4 linked regions of the Oryctolagus cuniculus genome follow. The protein of the gene in region 3 interacts with the protein of the main gene of each other region in a biochemical or structural test. Links are inferred from orthologs where the notes say so. Each region holds a gene or a part of one and is shown on either strand. Other genes may lie near its edges.

What was found. The genes of interacting proteins can lie anywhere in the genome.
Region 1: the proteins of BMPR2 (region 3) and BMP4 form a complex in vitro, tested with the Homo sapiens proteins (2 studies listed by BioGRID). The link is inferred for Oryctolagus cuniculus from reciprocal best matches to the Homo sapiens genes BMPR2 and BMP4.
Region 2: the proteins of BMPR2 (region 3) and BMP2 form a complex in vitro, tested with the Homo sapiens proteins (4 studies listed by BioGRID and IntAct, with this or other methods). The link is inferred for Oryctolagus cuniculus from reciprocal best matches to the Homo sapiens genes BMPR2 and BMP2.
Region 4: the proteins of BMPR2 (region 3) and GDF5 form a complex in vitro, tested with the Homo sapiens proteins (2 studies listed by BioGRID and IntAct, with this or other methods). The link is inferred for Oryctolagus cuniculus from reciprocal best matches to the Homo sapiens genes BMPR2 and GDF5.

What each region holds. Positions count from the first base shown.
Region 1 is NC_091443.1:22,466,007-22,470,895, reverse strand, and holds BMP4 (bone morphogenetic protein 4 precursor), read right to left. Parts: upstream 3,088-4,889; coding exon 2,715-3,087; intron 1,793-2,714; coding exon 936-1,792; downstream 1-935.
Region 2 is NC_091442.1:31,667,741-31,672,732, reverse strand, and holds the start of BMP2 (bone morphogenetic protein 2 precursor), read right to left. Parts: upstream 3,236-4,992; 5' UTR 3,174-3,235; intron 1,997-3,173; 5' UTR 1,990-1,996; coding exon 1,647-1,989; intron 1-1,646. UniProt on the Homo sapiens protein: Growth factor of the TGF-beta superfamily that plays essential roles in many developmental processes, including cardiogenesis, neurogenesis, and osteogenesis. Induces cartilage and bone formation.
Region 3 is NC_091434.1:37,454,654-37,459,056, reverse strand, and holds part of BMPR2 (bone morphogenetic protein receptor type-2), read left to right. Parts: intron 1-1,222; coding exon 1,223-2,499; intron 2,500-4,083; coding exon 4,084-4,334; 3' UTR 4,335-4,403. UniProt on the Homo sapiens protein: On ligand binding, forms a receptor complex consisting of two type II and two type I transmembrane serine/threonine kinases.
Region 4 is NC_091442.1:22,724,732-22,729,816, reverse strand, and holds the start of GDF5 (growth/differentiation factor 5 precursor), read right to left. Parts: upstream 3,236-5,085; coding exon 2,608-3,235; intron 339-2,607; coding exon 1-338. UniProt on the Homo sapiens protein: Growth factor involved in bone and cartilage formation. During cartilage development regulates differentiation of chondrogenic tissue through two pathways.

The sequences.
Region 1 (4,889 bases), on a different chromosome or scaffold from region 3:
TTTCACAGTGCCTACTCAGCATCTGGCCTCCTTGTCAGTCCCCTTCCCAGCCCAATGTGTCAGGATGTTGAACTTGATGAAGGCCTTCAAGAGCGATGGGGGGTAGGGAATAATGCCAAGAAAACACTGGAGAGTTCTCAGTGGTGTATTAAAGTAGTGGTTATCAAGCTTTTTTTTAATAAAATGTAGGGCATATCATATATTTTACTGGGTAAAGTCCACTTCAAAACAAAGAAAAAACCCACAGATTCATATGTGAGCTGTGCAAATTAGTTTTGGTTTGAAAACACACTGGCGCCTGTAATAACCAGAGACACCCCGAGGTATCGTAAAGGTGGGAGCTCAGACTTCATCACAGTCGGCTGGGCCGCACCTCCAACAGGTGAGCAAACACAGAAGATGTACGAGGAGCCCCAAACGGGGCCTTTCATCTGACCTGCTCCTTTCATCCCACTGTTTCTCCAAGGCATGTGTCATCCAGATGGGAGAGGATGCTGCGTCCTTGTTAACATTAAATAGAAATGGAAAACAATTCATCCCAGCAATTACCATCTCTCTGGGCCACTGGTTTACTTCCTGTCCCCACCCCAACTTCCATCAATGCCCCCAGCCTCTCTCAACAGCACAACCGAAAAGAAAAAGGGTAAGAGAGAAAAAGGCCAGAGTGTACCTTTAAAATAATGACTCATTTTATTTTTTTCTTTTAATACGTAGTTATAAATATATTTTGTCAAAATATATGATCAATATGGTCAAAACATTTGCACGTAAAGTCATAAATAAGGTCAAGGTGAATGTTTAGGTTTTTTCCTTTTTTTTCTTTTTTCAAAGATAAAAAGTCCAGCTATAAGGAAGCAGTCTGTGTAGTGTGTGGGTGAATGGATGGGAACGTGTGTGTGTCTGTCTGTCTGTCCGTCCTCAAGGGCTGCGGGATCTCAGCGGCACCCACACCCCTCTACTACCATCTCCTGGTAATTCTTCAGTACCACCTTGTCATACTCATCCAGGTACAGCATGGAGATGGCGCTCAGTTCAGTGGGCACACAACAGGCTTTGGGGATGCTGGAGTTGACAGAGTTGACCAGGGTCTGCACGATGGCGTGGTTGGTGGAGTTGAGGTGGTCCGCCAGTGGAAAGGGGCAGTCCCCGTGGCAGTAGAAGGCCTGGTAGCCTGGGGGGGCCACAATCCAGTCATTCCAGCCCACGTCGCTGAAGTCCACGTAGAGCGCGTGGCGCCGGCAGTTCTTATTCTTCTTCCGGGCCCGCTGTGGGTGATGCTTAGGGCTCCGCTTGGCCCTCCGGCGTCGGGTCAAGGCATGGCCCCGGCCGTCGTGGCCAAAGGTGACCAGGAGGGGCCGGAGCTGGGCCCAATCCCCACTCCCTTGAGGTAACGATCGGCTAACCCTGACATGCTGGCCCTGATGGGTCCGTGTATGGTGGAGGTGAGTCACCTCCACGGCCAGCCCATGGTTGGGCTGCTTCTCCCGGGTCCATCGCAGGACCGCGGGGCTCACGTCAAAAGTTTCCCACCGTGTCACATTGTGGTGGACCAGTCTCGTGTCCAGTAGTCGTGTGATGAGGTGCCCGGGCACTGCTTCCGCCGGGGGCTTCATAACCTCATAAATGTTTATCCGGTGGAAGCCCCGCTCCCAGTCGGGGCCCTGGTCCACCTGCTCCCGGAAGAGCCGGAGCTCTGCGGAGGAGATGGCCTCGTTCTCTGGGATGCTGCTGAGGTTAAAGAGGAAACGAAAAGCAGAGTTTTCGCTGGTCCCTGGGATGTTCTCCAGATGTTCTGGGCACGGTGAGAAGGAAGGGAAAATGAAAGAGCACGTGAACTTTTTTGAGAGATGGGGATGGCGGAAGTAGCTGAGCGGGGTGATGAGTGGTGAACTCTGCTTATAAGCTGGAAGACTACGGTGGGGGCAGGGGAGGGGTGTCTGCCTGTGGGTCTGAAGGAGCAGCTAGGTAGGGCACCCAGGGAACCAACAACACTTAGCTGGCGCCTGTCTAGCACCCAAGACAGAGCATCTCCCAGCCTCCCCCATGTGCCTGACAGCTTCCACGCAGCCACTCCCTTTCTCCATCACGCTCAGACTCCCATTTAAAGCCCCCTCTTGGCTTGGCCCACAGAGCCCAGGCTGGAGGAAACATGCATGCAACCACTCTCTCCCTCTTCCTCTTTCGAGTATGTTACTAAACATTTCCCCAGCGATCTTGGAAACACAGAGCATGCCTTGTTGATCATGTTACAGGGGGGAAAATAAATTCCAACACAGTAATGATGCTGGTGGATTCATAACTCAGATTTACTTTGGAAAAGAAACATCCGCTAGGAAACATTCAGATCAGATTACAAGGCCCCTATTGAATAAACCTGACCAACGCACACAGCTGTAATATTAAATTCGGTAGGTGCTTTGGAAAAAGGGGGGGCGGGGGGCAGAAACAGCTTTGATATGGCAGAAACACACCAGCGGGACTAGCAGCCTCAGTCCCCATCTCCCAACTACCCCCACCTCCACCCCCCTAACCGCCCCCCCCCCAAATAAGTTCAGAGGCAGCTCTGGAAATTCTTGGAGGTGAGCAGCCCCGTTCCCCAGCCTCTCCGATTGGGGCTTTGATGTAACCTGAACTCTTCCCCCAGGGTGCTCAGGGCCCCCGCAGCCAGGCCTGCTGGCCCTCCCCCCTCGCCCAGACGCCAGCCAGGGACTCACCTTCGTGGTGGAAGCTCCTCACGGTGTTGGCCCGGCTGGCCGGACGCTCCGGATACTCGAGACCGCCGCTGGGCATCTGCTCTTCCTCCTCCTCCTCCCCTGACTGGAGCCGGTAAAGATCCCGCATGTAATCCGGGATGACGGCGCTCTTGCTAGGCTGCGGGCGGCGGCGCAGCCCGAACATCTGCAGCAGCGTCGCCTCGAAGTCCCGCAGGAGCTCATGGCTCTGCCCTGAGCGGCGTCCTCCCGCGTGGCCCTGAATCTCGGCGACTTTTTTCTTCCCCGTCTCAGGTATCAAACTAGCATGGCTCGCGCCTCCTAACAGGACTTGGCATAATAAAACGACCATCAGCATTCGGTTACCAGGAATCATGGTGTCTCTGGGGAGGGGTGGGGGGGTGGAATAAATAAACACCAGTAAATAGAGAGAAACAGAGAGGTGTCCGCATATGCATATAGGGCTAGCAGCACAGGGTCGGGATGCCAAGCAGGTCGGAAAGACCCAAGTCTGTGCCTTCTCCCTCGCACCCCCTCCCCCCCCCAAGCAGCTGCAGCCGTGCACGGCCTGAAAGTAAAAATTGCCCTGTAATTACTTGGTCTAACTTGTTTACAGTCAAATAACCCCAAATCAGATAGCCTCCATCCTGTTAATCTTTTTTTGTCCCAACTGCCATCTGAGCCATGATCTCAGCGTGGCTTCTTCAGGAATAAACAGTTAACATGGAGGGGGGGGTGAGGAGGGGGGGGAGGGAGAACGCAAATGCCCTCGCTCTCCACGGCCGACTTTCAGCCTCTCCCCCCTCTCCCTCCACCCCCACCTTCCTCCGCCCTCCGAGCCCAACTTCCACAACCTCCAGCTGGTCGGGACCGTCAGGGAGGGAAGGCGGAGAGGCAGGGACTGGACGGAGGCGCGGGGCGGGCGGCGGGGTCCGGGGGGGCTGCCCCGGCGGCCGGTTTTGCGCCGTGGCCGACGAGGGTGAAATACTCGGCAGGAGGTGTGATCGTGTCGGCACGCTCCCTCCCGGGGAAGGGGGTGGCAGCCGGCTCCGGGGAGAACTCCGCGAGCTTTGACAAGAGGCTGGGACCGCTCCACGGGCGCTCGGAACGCTCCCCTAGGCCAGCGGGGCAGGGACGCGGAGTGGCGGGCGCGCAGGACCACCCCGGGGCAGCGGACCTGTCGTCTCTGAGCCCCCACCCCAACCCCAGCCCCGCGCGCTCCCTTGCCCTGCACCGCGCCCGATCGGAGCCGGCAGCACTTGTTAAAAAGAACCGGCTGGGTCTGCGCGCGCCGGCTGCGGGGCCGCGAGCGGAGCGTGGAGGGCAGTGAATTCCCGGGAGGGGGTAAGCAAGAGGTGTCTACTCACTGACAGAAAACAAGGCATATAATAACAGTCCATGATTCTTGGCAGCCAATCTTGAACAGACTTGCTGGAAAGGCTCAGAGAAGCTGCGGCCGCGCGTCGCTCGGGATGGCACTACGGAATGGCTCCTAAAATGAATATTTGAATATAATGAGACTCGGGCGCAGACAGGCTCTGTTTTTCTTCCAGCCCCTCGGAGTCACGTGAACGCCGAGGCCCCGCCCGCCCCGCCTCCACCCGCCGCCCCCGCTCGGTCCCCGCCCCTCCAGGCGAGGCCAACCTCCGCGCCCGCCGCCCGAGCCTCGGCGGCCGGGGAGGAGCTCCCGACGGCGGCGCTCAGCGGAAACCTCGGCCGGTGCCCCGCCGCCAGCGCGCGGAGGACCTGGCCTTTGCCTCCAGCTGCGGCGCGCCATGCCGAGGGTCTGGCCGGCCCCTCGTCCCCGGGACGCTTTAGCCACAGGTCCCGGGCACGAAAGAAAGGGTTTGCGCTTTGCGGCCCGAGCCTCGCTCCAGGGGTTGGCAGTGGAGTTTCAGCCGCCCGGAGCCTCCGCACCGAGAGGCATGGGTACCGGGAAGCGCAGCGGGACCCTCCGCGCACGCTCGCACGACCCCAAGCACGCGCGCGCGCGCCCTGCCGGTCCTCCCTGGGGTCTCGGCGAGGCCAAACATCACCCCTGGCGAGCGGCTGCGGGCGCTCCGAGCAGCAGGGCGGCCCGGCGCTGCGGCCCCTGTCACGCGTGCGCTCGGGGGCGGGGGTGCTGGCTGTGCTCGCTGTGGGAAAGTGAGAGGCAGCGGCTGCTGGAGTAATTTCTGC
Region 2 (4,992 bases), on a different chromosome or scaffold from region 3:
AGCTCCTGGCTCTTGGCTTCGGATCAACCCAGCCCCGGCTGTTAAGGCCAAAAATAACTTACTATATTCTGGGTAGCCTGCTTAGGTCTTGATCAAGCCATTTCTAGAAAAAGACACAGGCACACTTCATTGCTGAAACAGTTACACATGTCAAAGTCTCAGGTGCTTTTGATTTTTAAATAATCTTCCTCTCAAAGTTATGAGAAAGACACCATACCTTCCTAGCCTTAAAAATGAACGTTAAGAGGAGACCTATCCAGCTAACTCCTATTCCCTTTTTATCCAGAAATACTATTCTAATCTGTGTCAACTGGAAGCGATGAACCTGTAGTCATCTCATGGTTACCATGACAGAAGACACAGGAAGGAAAACCTTTCTCCTGTAACAACAAACTTCTGCTGTCAGTGGCTGAATTCTCAACAGATAGAAAAAGATGTTGATCCTCAGATCTTCAGAAAACACTTTACTTCAAAATGTGCTGGAACACGTGCTACCAGCTCCCAGCTCCCTTCACTGTGACAGCTGGGATGAGAAGTAGCTTGTGTGATGGGACCTGCCTTTGGGACTTCTTCTCATTATCACCCATCGTTCTTGAAAACGTCCCACTGAGAGAAAATTGTTTTCGTCAAGGAAAAGGGAACATCAGTCAGTGCAAGTGGCTGTTCTGTGATCTGTAACTCCACTCTTTTCTAGAATTCGCAGGAATGCATTCTGTATTTAGAGCTATTAAGCCAAAGGCACATTTAAAAGAACAAAAGAATGGAAATGTAGCATGTAGTTGACTAACGGTGCTAAGAAGTTAGGTGCAACAGAGCTCCATAGCTGCCCTAAGACATTTCAAATCCACTAAATGCCTTCCTGATGAAACCAGCAGAAATATCCTACCTTAGGAAAACCACATCCAGGATCATAAAAGAAAAAAAAAATCACATTTCAATGCATGTGAAGGAAGACAGGCAGCTGCTGCAAAAGGTTTTATCTGAAGGCTTGCTTTGTCTCTACTCTGAGCCTATCTCAGATTTAAGCACGAGACAAGAAAGTCATTGTGGAAACAATAAGATTGATTGTGGAATTGATCTCCCACGGGGATTAGATAGGGATTCGAAATCTTCCAACGCAGGCCCAGATCCACTGTAAATTAGGAAGACTTGGGGGCCCTGGGCTTTGATTTTTCAAGACTATCTGAGAATTCCGCCCTTGCCTCAGTCTAGCTTGAAACCCTGGCTTAAGCTGGAGACACAGATTTATGGAGCAAGGGCTTCCAAACAGACTTCAAGAAATCCCAAACCTCCTCCTTCTCCCACTGCGGAATTCCTGCACGCTTAGCTGACCAGGGGCATGCCTTTTAGCCTCGTCTTCCCCATCCCTTGATTCCGCTCTGGTTCCTGGAGGAGGAGTCGCCCTCCTGGCTGCGTGCCAGGAAACGGGTACGGACCGACCAAGGGGGAATCCCTGGCTGGCCCGCCACACGAGCAGTGCCTGAAAATCAGATTCAGAAAGGTCGGTACGGAAGCAAGAGGGACAGCATCCGCAGAGCTCTGGCTGAACTGCCTCTCCAGGGATGCCCGCAGCCGGCCTTGGTGCTCGGCGTTGCGGGTAGCAACCCGCCCGCGTCTCTGCCCCTGCGGCGCGCGCCTCGCCTTACCTTCGTGGTGGAAGCTGCGCACCGTGTTGGCGCGGCTGGCTGCCCTCTCCAGCCGGTGGTCCGGGGCGGGCGCGCCAGGCTGGCCGGAGTGCCGGCGGTACAAGTCCAGCATGTAGGGGGGCACCACGGCGTCCCTGCTAGGGGTGGGTCTCTGCTTCAGACCGAACATGCTGAGCAACCGCAACTCGAACTCGCTCAGGATGTCGTCCGAGGGCTGGGGCGAGGGGCGGCCCGATGACGCCGCGAACTTCCTGCGGCCCAGCTCGGGGATGAGGCCGGCCGCGCCGCCCAGGAGGACCTGGGGAAGCAGCAACGCTAGAAGACAGCGGGTCCCGGCCACCATGGTCGACCTGCGGACAGGGCCGACGTGAGTCACCCGAGTTCCCCGCCCAGTCCTCTCCCTTCCCGCCCCCGCGGCCTGGGCTCCCGCTGCGCTCGCTCGCCTCCTCCTCCAGGGCGCCCTCCTGCCTTGCAGCACTTGCTGGCTATGTCAGAGCGGCCACAGCTCTAACGTTTGGGGTGGGGTGGGGGAATGGAGGGCCCCAAGTTCCTGACCCAGAGCACTTTTCTCTCTCCCACCCCAGCCTGGGCCCGTCTGATACTTGATTTGGGGGTTGGCCTTATCCCTCGCTCCCTCCCCACTGAACTTAAGTGGTTGTCACTCCCCCCTCCCATACACACACACACACACACACACACACACACACACACACACACACACCAGAGCTGGCAGCCATGCAGGGAGTCTGGGGGATCACCGCTTGATCTGACACCCTGCCGCGCCTAGCCAAACTCAGAGCGCTCCCTTGCCTATAAACGCGCGCGCATGTGACTTCCTGAGAACCGGGGCACGGAACTTCCTGAGCCACAGTTCACCACTTCCAGACCCTGCAAACTCAGGGCCACGACTTCTGAAGCCGCTTGGCGGTGGCTGCCCGCTGGGTGTCGGGACGCCCCGCTCCACGCCCGCCCGCGAGCCCCCGGTGCGGTCGCGTACGCAGGTACCTTCCCGGCGTTACATAAAGGGCCGATCTCCACGCGCGCACGTGCCAGCGGGGAAACCCACGGCGCGAGCGGGACCCTGGCCCTCTAGCGCTTCTAGCAACCGGCGGAGAGAACCCCTAACGCCCAGCGCTTTCCTACGGGGGACGGGGCTCTGATGGAGAGCGCGGGTCTCCCCCAGAATCTTGATGAAGACAGCGCCGTGCCACGGCGTACAGGTTGGCAGCTAACGGGTGAAACCCAGGGGCCATCCTCTCCAAGGCAGCTCTTTGACTTTTTAATTTTTTAAAAAAATCATCTAAGTGTTAACAGCCTTAATAATATATCGAGGAAGAGCGGAGGAGGGGCGGAAGCGTGCGGGCGCGGGGAAAGGGGGCGCCCCCGCCGGGCTGGGCTGCACGTGGCCCCGGAGAGGGGTCTGTTTACGTCCTGCCCGGCCGCGCCCCGGAGGGGGGTCCGCCGCCGCCGCCGCCGCCGCGCGAGCCCAGCGCCCGCCCCGCACCCCGGGGCCCGCGCGTCCCGTACCTTTAGGAGACCGCAGTCCGTCTAAGAAGCCCGCGGGGACACGTCCATTGAAAGAGCCTCCACATGGAAAAAGCTCTGGCCCAGGGACCTGGCGCGGGGACCGGGCGTCCGCTCCCTTCCCGTGGCCTCCGGCTTCTCCTCCCGGCGCCGGCCGCCGAGTCCCTCTCCTCGCGCAGGGCGCGGCGTCCCGGGCTCGGCCCGGCAGAGGGCTGCAGCGCGGCGGGGCTCGGAGGCAGCGAGGCGGCTCCGCCGGGGCGCGGGCACCGGCGCGAAGCGGGGAGCAGCGCAAGTTAAGGCTGCAAGTTCAAGAAGTCTCCAGCCAAGTGCTGACACACAACAACAGCGAGCAGGGGGAGGAGTGCGGGCCGGGGAAGGGAAGGGAAGGCAGAGAGGAAAGGCTGCTGCTGTCGTCGTCCTCAGGCACCAGCGCCCGCGGGACGCGTGGCCGCGCGCGGGGCCGCCTGCGGGACTCCGGGGGGCGAGGGTCGGGCGCTCAGCGCTAGCTCCGCCGCGGCCCATGGCTCGGGGCAGCCATCCTGGGCGACGCCGGGTCCGGGGAAGGGCACAGCGGCGATCTCGATGCCCGGCGAGCTGCCCCCCCGCATCACTCTGCCTGCCGCCAGCGCACCCCCATCAGCGCTGGCCAGTGGAAACAGCCGCGGCTCCGGCGCCCCGTCGTCCTCGGGCGCATTCTCCGCGAGCCCAGCCGAGTCCCGGGCCGCCGAAGCGGGTGGCCGCGCTCTGCCCTCGCTGCTGTCCTAGCCCTCGGGCCAAGTGCCCTTTGTGGCCGGCTTGGGGTCCGATCACACCTCGGCTGGCACGTCTCGAGCCCCCGATCCCCGGCAGGAGGTGCTCGGCATCGCGGCGCTCGGGCTTGGCTCCGCACTCTCCGGCGCTCCGCGCGCCCGTCCGCGGCTCCGGCGCGGCCCGGGCAGCCGAGGCCACCGAGCTGTGGCGCGCAACGGCCGGGTGCTCCAACCCGCGAGGGGTCTGCGGTGCGCGGGTGCCTCGCAGCGCCCAGTAATCCGCGCGGCGCTCGCCTCGAGGGCGCTCGGGTCGCCGGCGGCGGCTGATGTCCGGCGGCGGCTGCCAATCCCCGGCGGGGTGTGGGAACCGGAGCGGCGGGCGCAGCGCGAGCCGGGCGCAGCGCGGCGGGGCGAGGACTCCGGCGGCGACGGCGGCGGCGGCGGCGCCGTGGCGCGGCGCTCGCGGCTTTTAAAGGGGACGCCGCCTGCTGGCTCCCTCCCGGCCCCGGCCGAACACCTCCCCCTCGGCGGCACTGCTCGCCGGGGATCCCCGAGCGGGCGGGAGCGGCGCTCAGGGGTGTGGACGGCGCGCCGGGGGCAGCCGCAGCGGGGTGGGGCCAAGGGCGGGGGCGCGCGGCCGCCGAGGGGGGCGCTGGCGCTTCCACCCCCCTGCCCTAGGGCCGGAGATGTCACCCTTGTACCCGACCCTCGCGTGTTCTCCGGGGCTGAGATGCGGGGCGACGGCAGGTTCTGGCCTCGGTGTCTCCACCGGGCCCGTTATTCAGGTTTCAGTTTGAAGTTTTTCAGAAAAGAGCTCAGGGAAGTTACAGAGCATCTTGGTGCAGACGTGGTGTGGTAGACGCTTCTGTATTTCCCCGGCGAGGGGAAGCTGGAAACTGGCCGATATTTAACACAGAGACATCTATGTAGCTGCAGATGGAAATCCATGTGTGCGCATTTACAGTTACATAAATTTGGGTATGCATTTGCACTCAAACGCGTGTGCGCGCATGTGTGTTCATGAAAACATACCTAATACACGCGTGTGCTTCCAACCAAGTCACACGTCCCTT
Region 3 (4,403 bases):
TCCTCTTCTTCTTTTCATTACCCTTGTAACTTCATCAGTCTTCCTTTATACCACCTTTTTTTTGGTTGCTGCTTCTCTCCAGTAGCACTTGTATCTTTTAATGTTCCCAGTGTTTATATTGTAATTGTTTTAGTTCATTTATCTGGTGTTTATTTCAGCCAGATTTTAAATAATATAAACATATTATAATGTTGTTATCAAGAACCTTCATTCCCAAGGTGTAGTGATGACTATGAAGAGCTCTTGATAACTAGAGAACAGTTCCGAATGTTTTATCTAAGTGTCACATTCTGTCATACTCAAGGCTTTAGGACTTCCATGGATATGGCTCAGACTATCCCAGAAAGATACATTGCTAGTCCATTCCTCTTAATGGAAGGACTTTGAAAGAATCTGAAATTCAAACTTTTTTACCATTTGGCCATTGATACTGAATTGGCAAGATACTCACTGAAAAGACATGAGGTATCTAGAATTAAGGGAATACAAGGCCGGCGCCGTGGCTCAATAGGCTAATCCTCCACCTTGCGGCGCCGGCACACCGGGTTCTAGTCCCGGTTGGGGCGCCGGATTCTGTCCCGGTTGCCCCTCTTCCAGGCCAGCTCTCTGCTATGGCCAGGGAGTGCAGTGGAGGATGGCCCAGGTGCTTGGGCCCTGCACCCCATGGGAGACCAGGAAAAGCACCTGGCTCCTGGCTCCTGCCATCGGATCAGCGCGGTGCGCCGGCTGCAGCGGCGGCCATTGGAGGGTGATCCAACGGCAAAGGAAGACCTTTCTCTCTCTCTCTCTCTCTGTCCACTCTGCCTGTCAAAAAAAAAAAAAAAAAAAAAAAAAAGGGAATACAAAAGAAATAAGTGCTATGGTTCCTCTGCTCACAAAATATAATATCTGGTTATATGAGTATATGGTTCATAAAGATGTATTTGGTGGAGTTATAAAACTATAGAGGAAATTATTGAATTAATCCTTGTAAAATAAAATAATGAACAGCTACAAAAAATCATCAAGATTCATGTAGATTTTTCAGTATGCTTAAGTCTTGTATAGCTAGCATTTATCAAGGTATTGACACTTGATTGTTTTTCATCTTAAGTAACCTCTAAAATAATATGAGTTAGGAATTAAATGAAAAGCAGCTTGAACTTTAAAATCAGAAGTACTAAACTTGGAGAAAATTTGTCATAATACACATTTTCAGTGTTATACTTTTTCTTTTTTTAAGCAACCTGTCACATAATAGGCGTATGCCAAAAATTGGCCCTTATCCAGATTACTCTTCTTCCTCATACATTGAAGACTCCATCCATCATACTGACAGCATTGTGAAGAACATTTCCTCTGAGCATTCCGTGTCCAGCACACCTTTGACTACAGGGGAAAAGAACCGGAACTCAATTAATTATGAACGGCAACAAGCACAAGCTCGAATCCCCAGCCCTGAAACGAGCGTCACCAGCCTGTCCACCAATACAACAACCACAAACACCACTGGTCTCACTCCTAGTACTGGCATGACTACTATATCTGAGGTGCCGTACCCAGATGAAACCAGTCTTCATGCTGCAAATGCTACACAGTCGATTGGGCCAACACCTGTGTGCTTACAGCTAACAGAAGAAGACTTGGCGACCAACAAGCTAGACCCAAAAGAAGTTGATAAGAACCTCAAAGAAAGCTCTGATGAGAATCTCATGGAACATTCTCTTAAACAGTTCAGTGGGCCAGACCCATTGAGCAGCACCAGTTCTAGCTTGCTTTACCCACTCATAAAGCTTGCAGTAGAAGTGACTGGACAGCAGGACTTCACACAGGCTGCAAATGGCCAAGCATGTTTAATTCCTGATGTTCCACCTACTCAGATTTATCCTCTTCCCAAACAACAGAACCTTCCTAAGAGACCTACTAGTTTGCCTTTGAACACCAAAAATTCAACAAAGGAGCCCCGGCTAAAATTTGGCAGCAAGCACAAATCAAACTTGAAACAAGTAGAAACTGGGGTTGCCAAAATGAACACAATCAATGCAGCAGAACCTCATGTGGTGACTGTTACCATGAATGGGGTGGCAGGTAGAAACCATGTTAACTCCCATGCTGCCACAACCCAGTACGCCAATGGGACAGTACCATCTGGCCAGACAGCCAACATAGGGGCACATAGGGCCCAAGAAATGCTGCAGAATCAATTTATCAGTGAGGACACCAGGCTGAATATTAATTCCAGTCCTGATGAGCATGAACCTTTACTGAGACGAGAGCAGCAGGCTGGCCGTGATGAAGGTGTTCTGGATCGTCTGGTGGACAGGAGGGAACGGCCACTAGAAGGTGGCCGAACTAATTCCAATAACAACAACAGCAATCCATGTTCAGAACAAGATGTTCTTACACAAAGTGTTCCAAGCACAGTAGCAGATCCTGGGCCATCAAAGCCCAGAAGAGCACAGAGGCCTAATTCTCTGGATCTTTCAGCCACAAATGTCCTGGATGGCAGCAGCATGCAGAGTAAGTAGAGGGTTCCTGTGTGTCTTAGAATCAGATTGTGTTTCAACTAGTGATTTTTTTTTGACAGGCAGAGTGGACAGTGAGAGAGAGAGACAGAGAGAAAGGTCTTCCTTTGCCGTTGGTTCACCCTCCGATGGCCGCTGTGGCCGGCACGCTGCGGCCAGCGCACCGCGCTGATCCGATGGCAGGAGCCAGGTACTTCTCCTGGTCTCCCATGGGGTGCAGGGCCCAAGGACTTGGGCCATCCTCCACTGCACTCCCTGGCCACAGCAGAGAGCTGGCCAGGAAGAGGGGCAACCGGGACAGAATCCGGCGCCCTGACCGGGACTAGAACCCAGTGTGCCAGCGCCGCGAGGCAGAGGATTAGCCTACAACTAGTGATTATTTACCTTTAGCATTTTTTAAAATAAAATAAACCATTTGGTTGGGTCTCAAAAGTAATTAGACTATTTTGAAGAAAAAATGCAATAGGAATTTTGTCATTGAAGAATTAACTCCGTATCTTGGTAATCAGATAATTAACACTTTAATTTGTGCATTATATGGCTGCTGCCTTATAATACAACTGTCACACTTGGTGTGAATAGTTGAGATTAAGTACTCACCAATTCAAGATTCCGAATAGTGTTAACGCCAGTGTAACTTTTCAGACAGTTTGTTGTGAATATTAACATATATTATTATATCTGCATTTAGAGTTTATCAAACTATAATAAATCTTAGAAATCCAGAGAAATTTCAGAAAAGTCTCTTTAAAGAAACTACAAGGTTGTCTCGGTTTCTTAGTGTCATCTTTCTCCAGAGTAACACATTGGGTTTCTCACATACCTGTAGCATTGTGCTGTGGGCCCCATAGCAACATAAACAAATAAACTGATGCTTGGTTTCTGGCCCTAAGTAAATTACAGCACAAGACAATTACGTCTACCAAAATCTATAACAGTCATCATTATATAAAATAGTTTCTGTTTTAGACTGACAGTACTCATGGGAGAAGAAGTTAGGTTTCATGGTTGTCAGGGACTACAAGATGGGCCCCTGTCCCATTGCTTGAGTGGCTTGTCTCGTGGAGCAGTGGATGTACCCCGATTGCCAGGCTTTGTTTCAGTGAAAGATCTCCTTTGATGTATGAGAAGAGGGAATAACTAGGAAATCTGTACTATAATATTTCTGATATCCTCCTAAAGAATATTGTTTGTCAGGTAACTTTCAAGTTTGATCCACTTTAGTACTAGGTAGAATAAAGTACATTTTACCGAGTTACAGTTTCTACCAAAACCAAAGTATTTGAGAATGTTGCTGAAAACTTTGAATTTTCTTCTCTGATCTTACTTTTTGGATTTTTTTCCCTCTATTTCCTCCTTTGCCTTGTGGAGTAATTCAATCAGTTTTAAGAGACCATTTGTCTTAAAAAGTGTCAAAAATAAATTGGTTAAGCTTTGCCAAGAACACATTGCCTGTCCTCATGACTTTGGAGAAATGTCCATCAACACCTTCTGCAGACACTGATTTGCTACAATCCTAACCCTTTACTTCTCACCAGTTCTTTATGTTTAGTTCATTTTTCTGTACTTTTGTTTTCAGTAGGTGAGTCAACACAAGATGGCAAATCAGGATCAGGTGAAAAGATCAAGAAACGTGTGAAAACTCCCTATTCTCTTAAGCGGTGGCGCCCCTCCACCTGGGTCATCTCCACTGAACCACTGGACTGTGAGGTCAACAGCTATGGCAACGATAGGGCAGTTCATTCCAAATCCAGCACCGCTGTTTACCTTGCAGAAGGAGGCACTGCCACAACCATGGTGTCTAAAGATATAGGAATGAACTGTCTGTGAAATGTTCTCAAGCCTACGGAGTAAAATTATTTTTTGCATCATTTAAACATGCAGAAGATATTTAAAAAA
Region 4 (5,085 bases), on a different chromosome or scaffold from region 3:
GTCCACGGCCCGGCCCCGTTCCCAGGCCTCCAGCTCCAGGCATAGCTGGGCCGAGTTCTTAAAGTTTCGGAAGAGCTTCCAGATGTCGAACACCTCCCAGCCAGAGCCGTCCAGGCCTGGCACGGAGCGCACATCCAGCAAGGCTGCCGGCTGCCGACCGCTGGGGCAGCTGGACAGCTTCAGCTGGGCAGCCCGCCCGCTGCCGGGGGCCACTGGCTTGGCTGTGTCTGAGGGCCTCTTCCGCAAGATCCGCAGCTCAGCCCCCAGCAGCCCGTCCTTCTCCAGGGCACTAATGTCAAACACGTACCTCTGCTTCCTGACCACAGGCCCTCGGTCATCTAGAGAGAACACCCAGAAGTCATTGCCTGCATCCCCCACCTCGGGGAGCCAGTCACCTCGAGGCCCCACGGGAGCACCCCAGCTCGCTCACTCACTCGCTCTCTCTCTCTCCCCCCTACGAGAGAGCTCTCTTTAACCTCTTCCCCACTCCAACAGAGGCCAAGACCCAGAGCACTGACAACCGTTTTCAAAAGGAGGGAGCTTCCCACAGGCAACCAAGGTCTGGTGTTCGTCTGCAAATGTAGCTGCGGTTGCCTTGAGTGATTTGGGGGTGGTTTGTGCCAATGATCTACATGTGTCAACGATCCGCCAGCCTTGGAGCTGCCTTCTGCCTCTCTCCCTCTCCTATCCATCATGCAACAGGATAGCTCAGTTATCAGACTGGCAGAGCAGACATTAAAATCACCTTTGTTTTTCCGGAGGAACCTACGGCTCTGAGAAGTTAGGTGCTTGCTTGAGAAAACCCAGCCAGGGTTGGAACGCTAGCCGGAAGCTTTTGATCCCCGATCTGAGCTGCTTTCACACTCTCCTGGAGGAGATCTGGGTGTTCTCGCTTTGTAGATGAGGGACAGGCATGCGGGGCGACTTGACTAAGGTCACACAGAGTTACCGACAAAGCTGTGGATAACTCAGCTTGCCAGGCTTTTGTGGATATGTCTTGCTCTGCGGCATGTGTGAGTGTGTGACGGTTTGTATGTGTGTGTGACTGGGTTTATTCTGAATAGGAAAGATCATGGCTGAGTACGCATGAGTTTCAAAATGTTTGCACCAAAAATATATGTCTTTCGATTCCATTTTTAAAAACTTTTAGACGCACCCTCGGGTGTGTGAGTGACATGTTACAAGTGTGTTGCATTGGGCTTGTGTGACTATCTGAAAGGTCAGTTCTTACATGTATACTTACATGTGAGAATTGTGTGTATAAAGAGGTATGTGAGTGTATGTGTGTGTGTGTGATTCCGCATGCATGTATAAATCCAAACTGTGTGTGCGAAGCTAGTAGTATCTCTGAATCGGCATACCCTTCTTCCTAAATACCAATTTGCCATTGGGGAACATTCATATATTGCTCTAGGTGACTAATTAGGCCTTTAAACTCCCCATCTCCCCCTCCCGAAGCCCCGTTAGTGCTGGGGGGCACAAGGACTGATTTTATGATTCCCCAAGGGGTCACAGCTTTCCCTGGCTGGGCAGGCAGCCAGGCCACCTCCCCCCACCTCAGCCAGACCTGCTGCCTCTGTGCCTCACCCCCGCCACCCGCACCCCCACCCCTGTGCTTCCCCTACAGGCCAGCTCTAATGAGGAACCTCTCCCAATCTCTGTCCCCTCCCCCACCCTGCCAGCCAAAGCCCCTCAAACTCTGAACCAGAGCCCAGGAGCTGCAAGCAACCCGAGCGATCAGCGGCCCACCCCCCCTTCTCACACTAGGGAGACGCTGCAGCCAGCCCGGAGAGGGAGACTTGCTGAGCTCACACAGCGAGTTAGAAGAAGAGCTGCAACAGTGACACGAGGTGGGCAGAGGGAGAAGTGAGGGGAGCAGGTGTTCCCCCAGGTTCAGGATGAAAATGATCTGTGGTTAGGACAGGACATCAGGTTTTCAGTTTTTGAGGGGCACTCAGAAATCACACAGCCCACCGCCCAAACGGCTGTGCACGTGGGAGAACAGAGCCTGCCGTGAGAAGGGCCTTTTTCTCAGGGTCACATTGCGAGTTAGACCCTGGGTCTGCAGTCTCCCCACGTCTCCAGACATCCTTCCACGACTGCAAGATGCCCCGGCTTCCTCTGCCCTCAGCCCAAGAGCAAAGCTGCAGAGCCTCGGCGACCGGGAGACTCAGCTCTCTCTCCACCCAGTGAGAAAATCTACAAACTCCAGGAGCCTGCAAAATCTGGCCAGCCCCCCCAGACGCAGAGCACGGCCTGGTAGTCAAGACTCTCGGAGTCTGGTCTCCGATCTGCCCCTCACGGGCAGCTCCGTCCCCTCTCCCGGCTCCAGTGCGCCTCTCTGCACCTTGCAGGAAGTGGATCTGGCGATCACTAGTCGCCTTCCAGCAATGACCTGCCAGCAGCCTGGACCTGGTGTGTGTGTGTGTGTGTGTGTGTGTGTGTGTGTGTGTGTGTAAGAGAGAAAGAAGTCAGGCACCCCATCCCAGGCCAGGTGCACACACCGTCCTGCCCCAGTGCAGCCCGTGCAAGGCCCCCTCTCCCACCCCGCCATGCATGCAGCTGCCCCTCCCTCTGAGTCGCACCCCTGCCACCCCACCCCCTCACCTTGCCCTTTGTCAATAAAGCTGGTGATGGTGTTGGCCAGGCCAGCCTCCAACTTCACGCTGCTGTTGCCTCCCTTTCTGTCAGCATCGGACAGCGTCCTGTACAGCGAGAGCATGTACTCGTGGGGTGTGATGGGGGGCGGGCGGAACGGTTCCTTGGGCTCTCGAGGGGGCCCGGGCTCCCTGGCCTTCTTCAGCAGGAAGGAGCTGGGGACAGATCCTGCCTTTGGGGGTGCCTTCCCCCCGGGAAGCTGTCCTTTTGGGGTCACAGTTCGTGCTGCAGTCTGCCTGGTCTGGGGAGGGTGTCCTGGCTTGGGTTCAGGGCCACCCGTTCTGGGGGGCAGCAGCTTTTTGGGTTCATCCTTCTTGGGCTGGGTCAGGCCTCCCGTCTGCCCGGTGCCTCCCTTGGCCCTGGCATTGGTGGCCCCCCCACCATAGCTGTGACCCCCGGGCCTGAAGATGCTCCGGGCCACCGCGGGCCTCTCCTTGGCCTCCGCTTTGGCCAACACTGGCCTGGGCCCCGGGGGTCTCTGGCCCAAGTCAGGGGCACCCAACACAGAGCAGACGAATTCCAGGTCCAGCCAAGCCAGGTGCCAAAGCAAGAGAGTGAGGAGTGTGGGGAGTCTCATCCTCTGGCCAGCCGCTGGATGACACCAAAGAGAACGGCGGCAGCAGCGAAGGAGCCTCTGGCTTGGCAGGAAAAACCATGAAAGGAGTGGACTTTCAAAGGCAGCGGCGGCGGCAGTAGCGGCAGCAGGGACGGCGCTCTCAGTCTGAGACTCCTGAAGTCTGCCGGGCGTGTGTTTGTGTCCAGTCCCATCGTGGAAATGCTTGCGGATCCAGACGTGCACCGTCTCCAGTCAGCAGCTGAAAATAACTCGTTCTTGAAAGGAGAAAGCCGACCGCCCCCTTTCTCCTGCACAACTGACTGAGGGCTTGAAGGAGGCTTGTATAAGACTGAGGGATTTTTCCAAGAAGGAAGAATGGCGTAATGCTGCCTGTGTGCTCCAGTTTTTTTTTCCTCCCCCCCTGGTTTTGAATCCTTTCCAGTGAAAATACTTCACACACACACACACACACACATACACACACACATACACAGAGGCCTGCAGGTGCTCAGAAAAATCTTTTACAAACCTGAACTCAGGAATTGGAAACGGAATTCCAACCCAAACCAATTTAATTACTCTCTGATGTCATGCTGTCTAAACTCATTTAAGTACGATATATTTATGTGAAAAAAGTCACGGCTGCCCTTTGCAGGCCCTGGCTCACGGGGGCTCTTGGCACAGAGCCCCACAGCGGGACTTGCGGCTTAGGGGGCTCCCGGTCGGCCCAGCAGACTCAGGGGTCCTCATGTGCACTTCACGGAGCAGCCCACCCCACCTGCCTGCAGAGGCATGCCCGGGAATGAGCTCGAAGATCTTAAGCCCCAGAAACACGGGCAGTGTGGGTTTTCAGTAAGTCCTTGCCATGTTTTTAAGGCGGTTTCAACCCCTGCGTGTAGTCCTGGGCCTGATTTGTTCTGTGTGTGTGTGTGTGTGTGTATGTGTGTGTGTGTTGGCGGGAGGTAGCACAGATGGCAGCATTTACCTACAGTTTCTTTTATTTGAATAAACTTGAGGTGACCCAGAGAGAGAGAGAAAGATCTTGGTGCCCGCTGCACTCCCCGCCGAATGCCACTGACGGAGCGCAGGTGAGTTCTTCAGGCTTGGGGGCACTGGCACCCCGGAGCCCGCTGTGTGGACGGAGACAGGTCCCGGCAGCCCCCAACCTCCTCAGAGTTCCCTTCGAGCAGGAGGGCTGAGTCCAGAGGCTACGGCCCCAGCCTGGGGCAGCAGCGACCCCTGCAGGAGGCTGGAAAAGCGGCTTCCTCCATGCGTTTCTGGTAGCTCTACAAGTCCCAATTCCAGCTGGACTTGGGGTTTCTTAAAGTGCCTCCTGGAAGCCAGGAAGCCCCCTTCGCTCGGGAGCCTGTCCCTTAGAGGCCATGGGCAACTCGCCCCAGAATCGTGGGGTAAGAGTTGTTCCCTTCACCTAGAATGTCCTCCTCTCCCACAATGAAGGAAGCCCTCCTCATCCTGACAAGTCTAGCTGACATCTCACCTCCTCCAGGAAGCCTTTCTCGATCTCCAGACAGAGCCAATCACTCCCTCGTGTCCACCTCACTGCAACAACACTGGCCAGGAGTTCCATGGCATCCTTCTTAATCTAAGAGACTCTGAGGTCTCAGAAGCTCTGTGATGTCTGCAGGGGTGTGCCGGCACCCAGCGGTCCTCGCCTGGTGGACCCTGGGCCCTCACTGATCTTCAGAGCACAACAGCACACTTTGGCCATCCGAGCTGCATCTGGGGCTCTGAGGTCAGAAAAGACAATAGAGCTCCCCTCCCCACCTCGGAGGCTCTCTCTGGGGAGCTCGACGGAGGGCAGCCACCTCTCTTCCAGTCACTTGGCTTGGCTTCAGTCCCTTACCCAGGCC